3 linked regions of the Tamandua tetradactyla genome follow. The main gene of each other region encodes a partner of the protein of the gene in region 3 in a complex. Links are inferred from orthologs where the notes say so. Each region holds a gene or a part of one and is shown on either strand. Other genes may lie near its edges.

Region 1 (3,595 bases), on a different chromosome or scaffold from region 3:
ATGTCCCCAAGGCCAAGCAAGGAGCTGATGCCTAAGCTGAGAGCTCAGGGGCTCAAGGGGGAAGGAGCTCGGGCCCCAGGGAAGCCAGGAGTGGGGGTGGGTTGGGAGGGGGTTACAGGTTTCAGTGCTGGGGCCTGTATGTGGCTCCCAGAGCTGCCTCTGGTTGCTGTGGGGAGGCCCAGGCAGGAGCTGCTGGGTGGGGGAAACCGCCAGGCCCCACTGCTTGGCTTTGGGTCAGGGAGGGGAAGAGGCCAAGGCAAGTGTCTGGGGCATCACCCTGGAGTTGGGAAGCTGGGGGAGTGGGTGCTGGGCCTCGAGGGCCAGGCAGGTCTCGGCCAGCATCCCCCCTCCACCTGGGGGATGCAGTCCCGCCCCCAAAAAACTCAGACTGACCCAGGGCAGGCCCTGACCCTCCCCCCAGCCGGCTTACTCATCAGCACCCAGAGGCCTCAGGACAAAGCAGCAGAGATGCCCTGAGACTGACTTGGCCTCCCTGCCCCTACCCTACGGCACATCCTGGCCCTGGGGGACACCGGGCACACACTCTGGGCTGAGCTACACAAATCCAGTCCCAGGCCTCAGGACATCCTGCACAGAGACCTTTACTGACATCTTCCAGAGCTCGGAGTCCACCAGGCTGCACTAGGGCCTGGCTCCCGCACCACCCCCAGCTGTCATATGCGGTCACTTCTCCAAGGGAGCATAGTTGAGCAGCTTCTCGATCAGGTCCACGTGGGCCAGCAGCATGCGGCGGCAGCAGTAGCGCTTCAGGCCCAGTGCATCCAGGGCGTCCCTGCGGGTAGGGGCAGGTGGTATGAGCAGGCTGTGGTCATGCGCATTGCACAGTCCACACGCCCCAGCGACCACCCTGGACCACCTCTCCCGCCTACTCCACTCCTCAGCCCCCGGGGCTGCCCCCTCTGCACCCTCCAACCACCAGTCTGCTGCTCCCACACAAGCCCCATTTCTGCCTCTGCTTTGGGCTCGTTCACCCAGGGCTGGGGTGGTTCTCGGGACTTCCAGAGTATCGGGGGGAGCTTAGAGGCACAAGGCTTATGCCTTCTCTGGCTGTGGTGTGGTCTTCATGGCTCATTCTCCGGGACTCTGCTGCCTTGCTAGAGCCCACACACCCCTCTCCCCTTGGGGCTGGCTCCTTAGCAGTTTTCCCTCCATACACAGGAACGCACATCACTGCAGCCAGCAGACCCCAGCAGACCCACATGGTCCCTGGCTGACAAAGGTGCCACACACAGATCACAGATCACACAGCTACCAAGGGGACTTTCCTGAGCTCTGCTCCCCCAAAATCAGGAAAAGAAACACCTCTCGAGAGAGTGACACCTCCTAATCCCTATGCCAATCAGTAGTCAGGACTTCCCTGGGACCTGTGTTCTAGCCATCAAGGTCTCCAAAGAGCCCACACAGCATCGGCTCCAATGCACAGATGGCAGCTTGGGAAAGTGGGAGGCAAGACCAGGAGTCCCCTTGCTCAGAGCATCCCAGGGACACAGCAGCCTGCACAGACCTCTTCAGGCCTGGCTTGAGTGCCCCGCCATCCATTCACTTTCCTCATTCATCCGGCACACTCCCCCCAGCAACTCCCTTGTATGCTGGGCACACATGTGGGCCCGAGGGCTCAAATGGGATCGTGACACACGGCTGGCAAGGGGGCAGACTCTCAGACATGCTCCCAGGAGCTGACTGCAGAGCTAAGGGGCAGGCACAGAAAAGGGGCCAGCCTCCTGCCTGAGGGGTGGGCGCTGCGTGGTCAGGCAGCTTGTCCGCCTCTTAAAAGGATGAGCGGGGCTTGCAGGACTTGGTGGGGCGGAGAGTTGGCCATTCCAGGCGGAGGAGGGGTGGCCGGGTGGTGGTGGGGTGTCAGGGAGAGGCAGTGAGGAGCAGGTGGCAGGGAAGAGGCTGAGGGATTTCCTGGGGATGAGAAGGCCACGGTGACCCGCGGCGAGGATACCTAGAGGCATCTTGCCCAGCTCCACAGCCCCCCCCAAACCAGGAGCTAGTCTGGAGGACCCCGGACGAGGAGGACCCGGGACGAGGAGGGCCCCGGACGAAGAGGACCCGGACGAGGAGGGCCCCGGACGAGAAGGCCCCGGACGAGGAGGACCCGGATCTGCGAGCCCCCACGAGAGACCCCGCCCCCCGCGCCCTCCCGCGGGCCCGAGCCTCACCCTTCGGTGTACTCGGCCTGCAGCAGGCCCAGGTAGGCCTCCCACTTGTTGCCGACGATCTTGCCGCAGGTGAAGCAGCGCACGGGGATGATCATGGCGGCGGCAGGCAGCGGACCGGTCCTGCAGGCTGTCTGACAATCGGCTGCGCTCGACGGCTCAGGAGGCGCTTCCGCCCGCGGCGCGCAGGCCCCGCCTCGGGCGCGCCCACTGGCGCAGGGGGGGACGTCCCCGCGCCCTGCCGCCACCCGCCGCTGCCACCACCCGTCTCCACCCCCGCCACCGACCGCCCTTGCGGCAATTACTCTACGTCTGGCAAGTCTTCTCTGCGCGGGGCGGGGGCTCCCGGGGCCCGCGTGGCCGCGACGGGAATAGCCGGCACCCCCCGCGGCCGCTTTGGTACGTTCAGGTCTACGGCGTCCGAGCTGGGCCGCAAGGGTTGCGGCGGCGCTCGCGTTTCGCGTGTGGCGGGAGTGACAGCCGTGCGGCGGGAGCGGACGGGCGCGCAGGTACCGCCCCCCACCGCCCGGGAGGCGCCCCCGGACTCCGCCGCCCCCCGCCGCCCCGAGCCGAGCCGGGGCCGGTACCACAGCCGGGCACACTGGAGGGCGCGAGTTCGAGTCCCGAGGGCAGCCGAGCCGCAGCCACACGGGGCCGGGGGCAGGGCCGGGCGGTGGTCTTCCCGCCTCCCCTCCGGGCCCGGCCCTCGCCCGCGGCCATCCAGCCCGGGCTCTGAGTTTGGGGCGTCGGGCCCCGACGGCGGAGGTGCCCCCAGCGCCGCAGCGCCCCGCCGCGGCGGCGAGTGCTCCGGTCCCGGGGAAGGGACCCCCGGCCAGGCTATGCTGGGCAGCCCCGACGTGGGCCAGCTGACCCCAGCCCGGCGGGCCGAAGCGTCGTGGCCAGGGGAACGGGCAGCCTGGGGGCTGGAGGGGAAGGGGTGGCCCGGGCAGGCCGAGCCTCTGGCGGCGGAGGCAGGCGGGGCAGTGTGCGGGGGAGGCAGGGAAGGCTGCCTGGAAGAGGGGACGCTGGGCTGGCTGCGACGGGCCGGCGGTGGGGGGTGTGTGTGTAAAAGAAGACCCACGACTTGGAGCTGCCTGACTTGGAGCTGCCTGGGACGGGGTCTGCGTTGGGTCCCTGCCTCCCCCCGGTCTCACCCCAGGTGTCAGCTGGACCCTGACTCAGTTGGATGTGGGAGGGGATGGAAGGGTCTCCTGGGCTTGGGTAGGGCTGGGCCGGCTGTTGTTGCCTGGAATTTGTGCCTCCACCTCCCCAGTGGCCCTCTCCATCCCCCTCTAGGCCACGTGCAGAGCCACGAGCTAAGGCCACTTCCCTTCCCAGCCGCCTCCACCCAGGAGGACTGGACGCACATCCTGTCTCCCCTGGAGGGGCCAGAGAGGACCCTTGAGTCACGG
Region 2 (3,740 bases), on a different chromosome or scaffold from region 3:
ACTCACCTTTGTGGTTCACATAGAGTTCATTGGGATCAGAGGAATCTTTAGCAGCATGGGGATTCTGAGTGCACCTGACTTGCAGCCGAAACTGCAGAGTATCTATCTCTGTGCCTTCTTCATCTCCTGCACAAATGTAAGAGGAGGAGGAAAACTTGTGAACATTTGCATGCCAGGTACTATACTCAATGCCTATCTCAATCCTCCTGATGAACTTATAAAACAGGTACAATTTTCATTTCACAGATGAGAACATTAACGTTGCAAAAGGCTAAGTAACTTGCCCAAGATCACACAGTAGTCAACCCAGTATCTAAACTCAGGCAATCTTGATTACAAAATCAACTTCAATAAAGAGTTACTTCCCCTGTTTCCAAAACTTTATTTTCCCAGACCCTCACCTTGGTTCCGATATTCAAAAAGACGGGGATCAGCATGAATGGGAATGAGCCCTAGACGATGGGCAAGGATCTCATCCTGGACAATGGATGTGTTGTTGTACACCAGGACCTTTTCTATAGCCATGGTTGGTACCTGCCCAAGGAAATAGTATCACCCATCTGCAAACACTCAAGAGACTCCCCACCCAATCCCTGCCTCCTCATAGGAAAAGAACTCTTCTGAAAGAATGTCTGATGAGCAGTTTACAAGGAATGGGCAAGAGGAATGCCCAGCAAAACTACAAGAAAAACAAGGAGTGGCTGCAGCTTGAGATGCATATATTCAACAAGGGAGGTGATGGCATGGTTCCCCACACAACCCCCCAAATGCCACCTTCCCATCAATACCTCAGCTAACAGAATGCGTCGAAATGCATTGGCAATGGCTGCGTCAATCCCCACCATGTCAAATTCCAATGAGTTTTCATCCATCTGTACCACATCCACACGGAAATTCTAGAGGGGCAAGAAAAACTGATGCCAGCTATCTGTATGGTCAATTTCTCTCTACATCTCCCCTCTGGATATTTCTCTCAAAGTATGAATACCTTCTCATCCAGGAACCTCCCCTTTGCCCAAATGTCCCTCATTACATGTCCCTTTCTCCCGAATCCTTTCTTTTTTTCTTGGAAATTCTGTTTTTATCTATTCAAAACCTTCGGCAATCTGGTTTCTAGCCAGATCATCTCACAGAAGCCATTCTTTTATGGAACTGGAACTTCCACACTGCTTATTCCAGTCGACACCACTCAAGCTTTACCTTACTGGACTCTGCTGCATTTGCCATTATTGATAAAATTCCTTCTTTTTGAAACTTTGATTCTCTTCCTTCTCTGATGATTTTTACTAAATTCACTATCTTCTACTTTCCCCTATGTTACTATTTCCCAGGTTCTTGTCTCCCATGTACCTCAACCCCACACTCATGGTTTTAATCAACTCTACTTTCTGATCTCATTTCAAATATATATTCTTCTAGCCTGCTAGACATTGCCACATGCAGGAAAATGAATGCATCATCATTCCTTCCCCAGACCCATTTCTTCTTAGAGGACACCCACCATCCAAGCAGTTCTTCAAACTAGGTTATTTTACACTCCCCCTCCCTCACCGCACATATCAAATCAATCCCAAATTTTACCTTCTATCCTCCCTTTCCTCTATTTCCATGGACACAGTTTTAGTCCATGCCTTCATTTTCAACTCTTCCAACAGGTCTGCCTGACCCATATCATCCTGCTCAAATTCTCTCCCAATCATGTGAGTTGCAAATCTGATGTTATCTGTATAAAAATTATTCAAAAGCTATTACCTGCAATGCCTAAGACTTACTCCAGTCCTGCCTATCACTCGTGCCAGCCCACCTTACATCACAGCAATATTGAACTGCTTGGACAATGCCGAGACACCTCAAAATTTAGCTTCTGTTATTAGTACCTCCTCTCTCGTCAATGTTCACAACTTGTACTTATCATTGAAGATTGAATTGAGATGCATCTCCTCCAGGCACTCTTCATACCTCGTCCCCATTCCCAGTCCAGATTAGGTCCTTCTATAGGATACCCAATCCCCATCCCATGTTTATCGCTATCAACCGCCACTGTCACACAATACTGGAATCATTTGTTTTATGCGCGCTCTTCCCCAACTTCTTGTTCACAGAACAGGGCAAAAAAAAAACATGCGCCTGATTCAGCCTTGTACACGCAGCACCTAGCACTGGTGGGATGGAAACACGCTCAGTAAACGTTTTATGAACGTTTTGGCTCTAGCCCCAAGGACAACTTCTGAGGCTTAGCTCACACCGTCCGGCCTTCACACCCTCTCCGGACACCTACAGCCCCAACCACCTCCTAATCAGATCCCTCTCCCTCCCTGTACTTTCCCACTCCTCTCTCACCCTCTCGAAGCTGTCCTGGTCCCAGGCGTCATCGTAACCAGAGTAGTTACCGGGGAAGTCGGTAGTATGAACCTAGAGCAAAGAGAGGCGAGCCTGTCCGAGAAGGGTCTGCGAGGCCAAAGGCATCCCCGACACCAACTCATCCCTATTCTGATCCCCTCTCCCCTCCCGAGCCTAAAGCCACAGGACTTACATTTCGAACTCCGAACTCCCCCAGAACCACGCGGTTTCGCATTTCTTCTACCCTCTGGGACGCCGCCATCTTCAAACCCACCACGTGACTAAGACAGTAAATTGGCGCGTGCGTCCTACTAGCCTTGCCGTCTCCGTGACAACGAGCCACCAACTGGAGGTTTAGATATCGCGAGATTCTGATCCTATTCCGTCCACGTCCCTAGCTTCCGGGAGTCTGATTTGGCCAAACATCCGGGCTTCTCCCTTTTTTGCGTTCCGGCTAGTCCTGTCTCTCGTTGCTTCTTGACATCTCCCTCCCTCGGACCCATATTTCGCCCGCTCCTCCGGGCGCGGGGCTAGCGCGGGCTTCAGCGACGGGAGCCCACAAGACACATGGCAGCTACAGCGGCGCCTGTCAACGGCGCCCGAAACGGGACTGGCCCGGAATGGGGAGGGTTCGAAGAAAACATCCAGGTAATGGACCAAAGCTCTGGATGCCAGCAGCCCTAGCGCCGGCAGCCACCCTGTAGTGCCCTGAGGACTCTCCTTCAGGGCCTGGAAAACCGCTCCTAACCTTTTTATCTCCTGCGCCATTTGCAACACTTTTTCTCTCCAGTGGGTCTTGGGCGAGACAGTCGGAGGGGTTAGTGCTGTCTTGAAAGGTCCAGACAGATACTCCAGCCGGAAGGCTTCGGGTCTCTAACCCACCTCAGGCGTTAGGAAGAGCGTACTAACGCTTTTGAGACAAGTTAGGAAGTGGGCCGGAGTCAGACACTGCGGGGGAGGGGCAGGAATTACTGTCACTGGCCGAAAGCATAGTGTGTGCAGTTTTGTCTTGAGCCTTTGAGGGTTTCATACCGAAAGCAGGAGAAAGGTTTGAATGGAAGACAGCTGGTAGGTTTCCTAGGCTAGAAAAGAGAGCCAAAGCTAGGAACCAGGCATTCTGAGAGCAAATGAAGGGGAAGCAGTGAAGTGGCGTGATCTGTAGTAATTCAAAGCCATAGCCCCAGCAGTGGAAGAACAGAGCCCCAAACTTTGGGATGAGAGAGGAGGACTTAATGGATGAGCAGAAAGGCCATTCATTCTAGGAGCCATTGTCTTCACAGGGTGGGGGCTCAGCTGTGATTGACATGGAGAACATGGATGACACTTCAGGCTCCAGCTTTGAGGATATGGGTGAGCTGCATCAGCGTCTGCGTGAGGAAGAGGTAGATGCTGATGCAGCA
Region 3 (3,740 bases):
CAGCGCCTGCGGCCTGCTTTCCCAGGGCTGGCCGAGCCTTTTTGACAAACTGATTGCGTGGCGGGGATTGGCTGGTCCAGGCGTGACGCCGGTAACAACAAAGGTGGAGTTGGAAGAAATTAGATTAAAGACTAGGAAAAAAAAAAATTAAAGGGGGAGCTGGCCAAGGGACAGGAGACAGAGATCGAAGGGTTGAGGCGCGAAGCGCCGTCTCGCGGCTCCGACCTCTCCCCGGAATCCCCTGCGTGCAAACCGGTCCGGATTTCGCTCTCCACGCCCACCCGGACCCAGCTCTCCAAAGCCGAGGTGGAAGGGACGGCTGGTACTTTCTGAAAAATCCCCCTCAACTCCCACCCGTGACACCCCTGGCTACGACCCAGGGGGGGGAACTTTTTGGTCGGACTCCTCGGATCCTATACCCGGCGGAGGTGGGGACGTTGAAAACAAGGAGAGACTCGCTCTAAACCCCGGAAGGCCCTTGCAGGGCACGAAGATCGGACCAGGCGGGGTGTTCCCCCGTTTTTTCGATGTGTTGTAAATCTGAGAAGAGCGTCTTTCGTTTCATTCCTTTTTCCTTCTTCTTCTTCTTCTTTTTTTTTTTTGTAAAATCCCCCCTTGATTCGCACCCCACCCCCAGCTTTGGCTTCAGGGTTACAAAAGCAAAGAGCAATAAAAAAAAAAAAAAAAAAAAAAAAACCGCGCACACACTCAGGCACACACCAGTGGCGACAGGGGAGAGTAGGAAAGACGCAGGAGAGAAGCAGGAGGCAGGAGGCAGCGGGGAGGGAGCAATGGGAGCGGGAAGGAGGCAGGTTCCCTGGCAAATCCGCCTCCGGCCTCACGCCGCCTCACCGGCCCCGGCAGGGGAGCGAGGAGCCGGGCAAGCAGATGGAGTGGAGCTCGCTCTAGGCAGCGGGCTTGGCCGGAGAATGGAGGAGCCGCCAAGCGACCGGCTGATTGGAAGAGAAACGCAGAGCGATGGAGGCGGGGGTAGGAGGACGATTTCTCTGCGGGGACTGGCGGCAGCGTACACGCCCGGGTCGGGCGCTGCAGAGCTTGGCTAGCTTTCAACCCGCGCTCGCCGGCTCCAGCCCGGTGCGCCCCCACCCCCAGCCCTACCGGCGGCTCCGCAGGTGAGTGCGAGCTGGGGGCAAAAAGACCCAAAAGTCTCAAAACGCCCGCCCTGCGGGTAAAAAAAAAAAGCAAGAGAAAATGGAAAAGAAAAGCATGTTTCTTTCTTTCTTTCTTTTTTTTAAAATTTTTGTGCAGTTCCCAGCACGGTGGGAGGGAAGGGGTGAGGCTGAGCCGCCCGGAGGAGGCGGAGGGGCCAGGCGAGGCCGGGGTGGCCCGGGAGGCGGCGGCGCCGAGGCGGCTCTGACGGGCGAGCGCTCGGAGCGGCGCTGCGCTGCGCCGAGGCGGGCGGGCGGGCGGAGCGGGGCGGGCGGAGCGCGGCGCGTGGGGCTCGCCATTAGCCGTCGCTCCGCTTCGCCATCTCGGGCTTTGTCTGGCGACTCGCTGCTCCGGTGTCGGCTGCGGCTCGGCTCTTCGGCCCGCCGCGCCCCCAGGTGCCCCCGGCCCGCGTTCCCATCCACTCGTTCGGTGAGTGCGCCCCAGCGCCGCGGGATTTCGGGAGAAGAGGGGTTGCGGCGAATGGCAGCGGCGGCCGATCTCCATGCGCCCGGGCGGGCCTGGGGTAGCCATGCCGGGCTGGATTGAACCGGCTCCCAGAGCGGCTCCTCGGCCACAGCCGGTCGCCCCCTCGCCGTTTCCGGGGTGTAAGGAGTAGAGAGGAATTTTTTTTTTTTTTTTTTGCGGGAGAGCGTTCCTGGGGGCGATTTTTATTTTGTTAAAGTTTAGTGTATATCGCTCTACTCGCCAGCGCGGGGACCGCGAGGCGGGCTGGCGCCGCGATCGGCAAGTCTGCGCCCCAAGCCCGCGGCCACACGCGGAGGATATGGGTGGGCGCGGACCACCCGTTCCAGGAGGCAGGAGAGGGAAGCGGGTGAGGGCTGGCCTGGGAGGCCGGAGCTAAACTGAGAGGAGTGGTGGGAGAGCTCCGGAACAGGGCTACGGGCACCACCGAATGTCCCCGGCCGCCGGGGAGCCCTCCGGGCACCCTCGTCGCAGCCGCGCCCTCCCTCCCGCGCCGGCCAAGCCTGCTAGTTCCCCCGCGGGTCTGGGGAGGTCGCTCTCAGCGCGCCCGCCCGCCTCGGCTCCGAGCCCCGCCGCCATCCGGGCGGCTGCGTGTCTCCCTGCCTCGGCCCCCCCCCTCCGGCGGCAGCAGCAGCAGCAGCAGCAGCCGCCGCCGCCGCCACCCCCCTCCCCTCCTTCCTTCCCTCCGCCTCGGCCGCCCGGGTCCCCCTAGCTCCCGCCCCTCCTCCCAGCTGCCCCCCGCGGAGCCCGCCCGGGCAGGCTGTGGGAGGGAGTGGAGCCGGCGAGGCAGGCGGGCTGGCGCTCGCTCCCCGGGGGTCGGTGTGCGCTCTACGGGGAAGGACGCGCTCGCTGCCCCGCTTCTCCCGCCCCCCCTCCCGCTCCTCCTCCTCCCTTCTCCCTCCTCCTCCCCGCTCCGGCGGCGGAGGCTGCGGCGGCGGCGGGGGGTGTGCGAGCGGAGGCCGGGGCCGGCGGGCGGGCGGCGGGCGGGCTGCCTGCAGGCGGAGGGCGCTGTGCTTTGTGCTTTTCGCCGCGAGGAGCAGCAGGCAGCAGCCAAAGCTGCCGCCGCCGCCGCCACAGCAGGAGCAGCCGCCGCCCCAGCGCCGCCGCCGCGCCCGGAGGAGGAGCCGCTGCCGCCGCGGGAGGGAGCTGCGGCTGTGCCCGGCCGAGCGGGGGAGGGCGCCGCCGCTCAGAGCCGGGGAGGGAGCCACGGGAGCGGGAAGCCCGGAGGCCGCGCTGCGCTGGGTAACTGAGGCGGACGGAAGACGCGCGCTGGGGTCGGGGCCCAGCAGCGGGGAGCGAGCTGCGGATGCGGGGGGCGCCCGGTGGGGACCCGAGGCGACCTCCGGGCAGGGGACTGGGCGAGAGCAGACCAGGGCACTGGGGAGGACACGCCGAGAGCCGGGGGAGGGGAAGGCAGGAAGCGAGGCCCGAGCCGAGCCCCAGCCGCGAACGTAGGAGCCCGCGCTTCTCCGAGCCGGCAGGCGCAGTTCTCGCCGGCCGCCGGAGGGGGCGGCGGGGCCGGTGAGCGCTGCGCCCCCGCCTCCCGGCCGCCGTCCTCCCGCCCTCTCCTTGGCTCGGCTCCCCGGAGGCCGGGGCGGGGGCGCCGGCAGGGCTGGGCCGCAGGCTCGGGGGAGGAGGCGGCGGTTCCCGCCGCGGTCGCGCCTCTGCGCCGAGCTCCTTCGTGCGCGTCGGGGTGGCTGGGCGGTGGCGGCGATTCTGGCAAGGGTGGGTGGCTCGGGGGCGGGGGGCAGGCAGGCTAGGCCGCTTCTCTCCAGCTGGTCGCCCGCCCGGGCGGGCGGGGACGGCGGGAATCCAGATCCGGTCCCCGGGGGCGGTGCGGCTGCTGCGCTCCGGGGCCGGCGGCGGCTGAGCTGCGTCCGGGTCCCCGCCGGGTTGCGGAGGCGGGGGGAACGGGCCGCGGGGAGGAGGGAGGAGGAGACTGCGGCGCGTGCTCGCTTCCGCGGCCACGCGCGCCCTTTACCCGCCCTTCCTTCTCCCCCGCCCTCCAGCTTGGGGCCTCCCCGGGGCGGGCGCACGGAGAGGAGGAGGAGGAGTTTTTTTTTTTTTTTCGTCGGGGTGGGGGAAGG

What was found.
Region 1: UBTF (region 3) and POLR2L share a complex: the UniProt entries of both Homo sapiens proteins name them as parts of the pol I pre-initiation complex. The link is inferred for Tamandua tetradactyla from reciprocal best matches to the Homo sapiens genes UBTF and POLR2L.
Region 2: UBTF (region 3) and POLR1C share a complex: the UniProt entries of both Homo sapiens proteins name them as parts of the pol I pre-initiation complex. The link is inferred for Tamandua tetradactyla from reciprocal best matches to the Homo sapiens genes UBTF and POLR1C.

What each region holds. Positions count from the first base shown.
Region 1 is NC_135335.1:671,970-675,564, forward strand, and holds POLR2L (DNA-directed RNA polymerases I, II, and III subunit RPABC5), read right to left. Parts: upstream 2,369-3,595; 5' UTR 2,282-2,368; coding exon 2,187-2,281; intron 794-2,186; coding exon 685-793; 3' UTR 587-684; downstream 1-586. UniProt on the Homo sapiens protein: DNA-dependent RNA polymerase catalyzes the transcription of DNA into RNA using the four ribonucleoside triphosphates as substrates.
Region 2 is NC_135331.1:101,096,806-101,100,545, reverse strand, and holds the start of POLR1C (DNA-directed RNA polymerases I and III subunit RPAC1), read right to left. Parts: upstream 2,908-3,740; 5' UTR 2,603-2,907; coding exon 2,534-2,602; intron 2,413-2,533; coding exon 2,341-2,412; intron 1,724-2,340; exon of another isoform or gene 1,582-1,723; intron 1,211-1,581; exon of another isoform or gene 897-1,210; coding exon 789-896; exon of another isoform or gene 535-788; coding exon 402-534; exon of another isoform or gene 127-401; coding exon 7-126; exon of another isoform or gene 1-6. Other genes in the region: protein YIPF3, read left to right, coding at 2,908-2,988, 3,621-3,740. UniProt on the Homo sapiens protein: DNA-dependent RNA polymerase catalyzes the transcription of DNA into RNA using the four ribonucleoside triphosphates as substrates.
Region 3 is NC_135332.1:23,274,086-23,277,825, forward strand, and holds the start of UBTF (nucleolar transcription factor 1), read left to right. Parts: upstream 1-775; 5' UTR 776-1,133; intron 1,134-1,452; exon of another isoform or gene 1,453-1,599; intron 1,600-2,398; exon of another isoform or gene 2,399-2,468; intron 2,469-2,828; exon of another isoform or gene 2,829-2,895; intron 2,896-3,267; exon of another isoform or gene 3,268-3,378; intron 3,379-3,740. UniProt on the Homo sapiens protein: Recognizes the ribosomal RNA gene promoter and activates transcription mediated by RNA polymerase I (Pol I) through cooperative interactions with the transcription factor SL1/TIF-IB complex.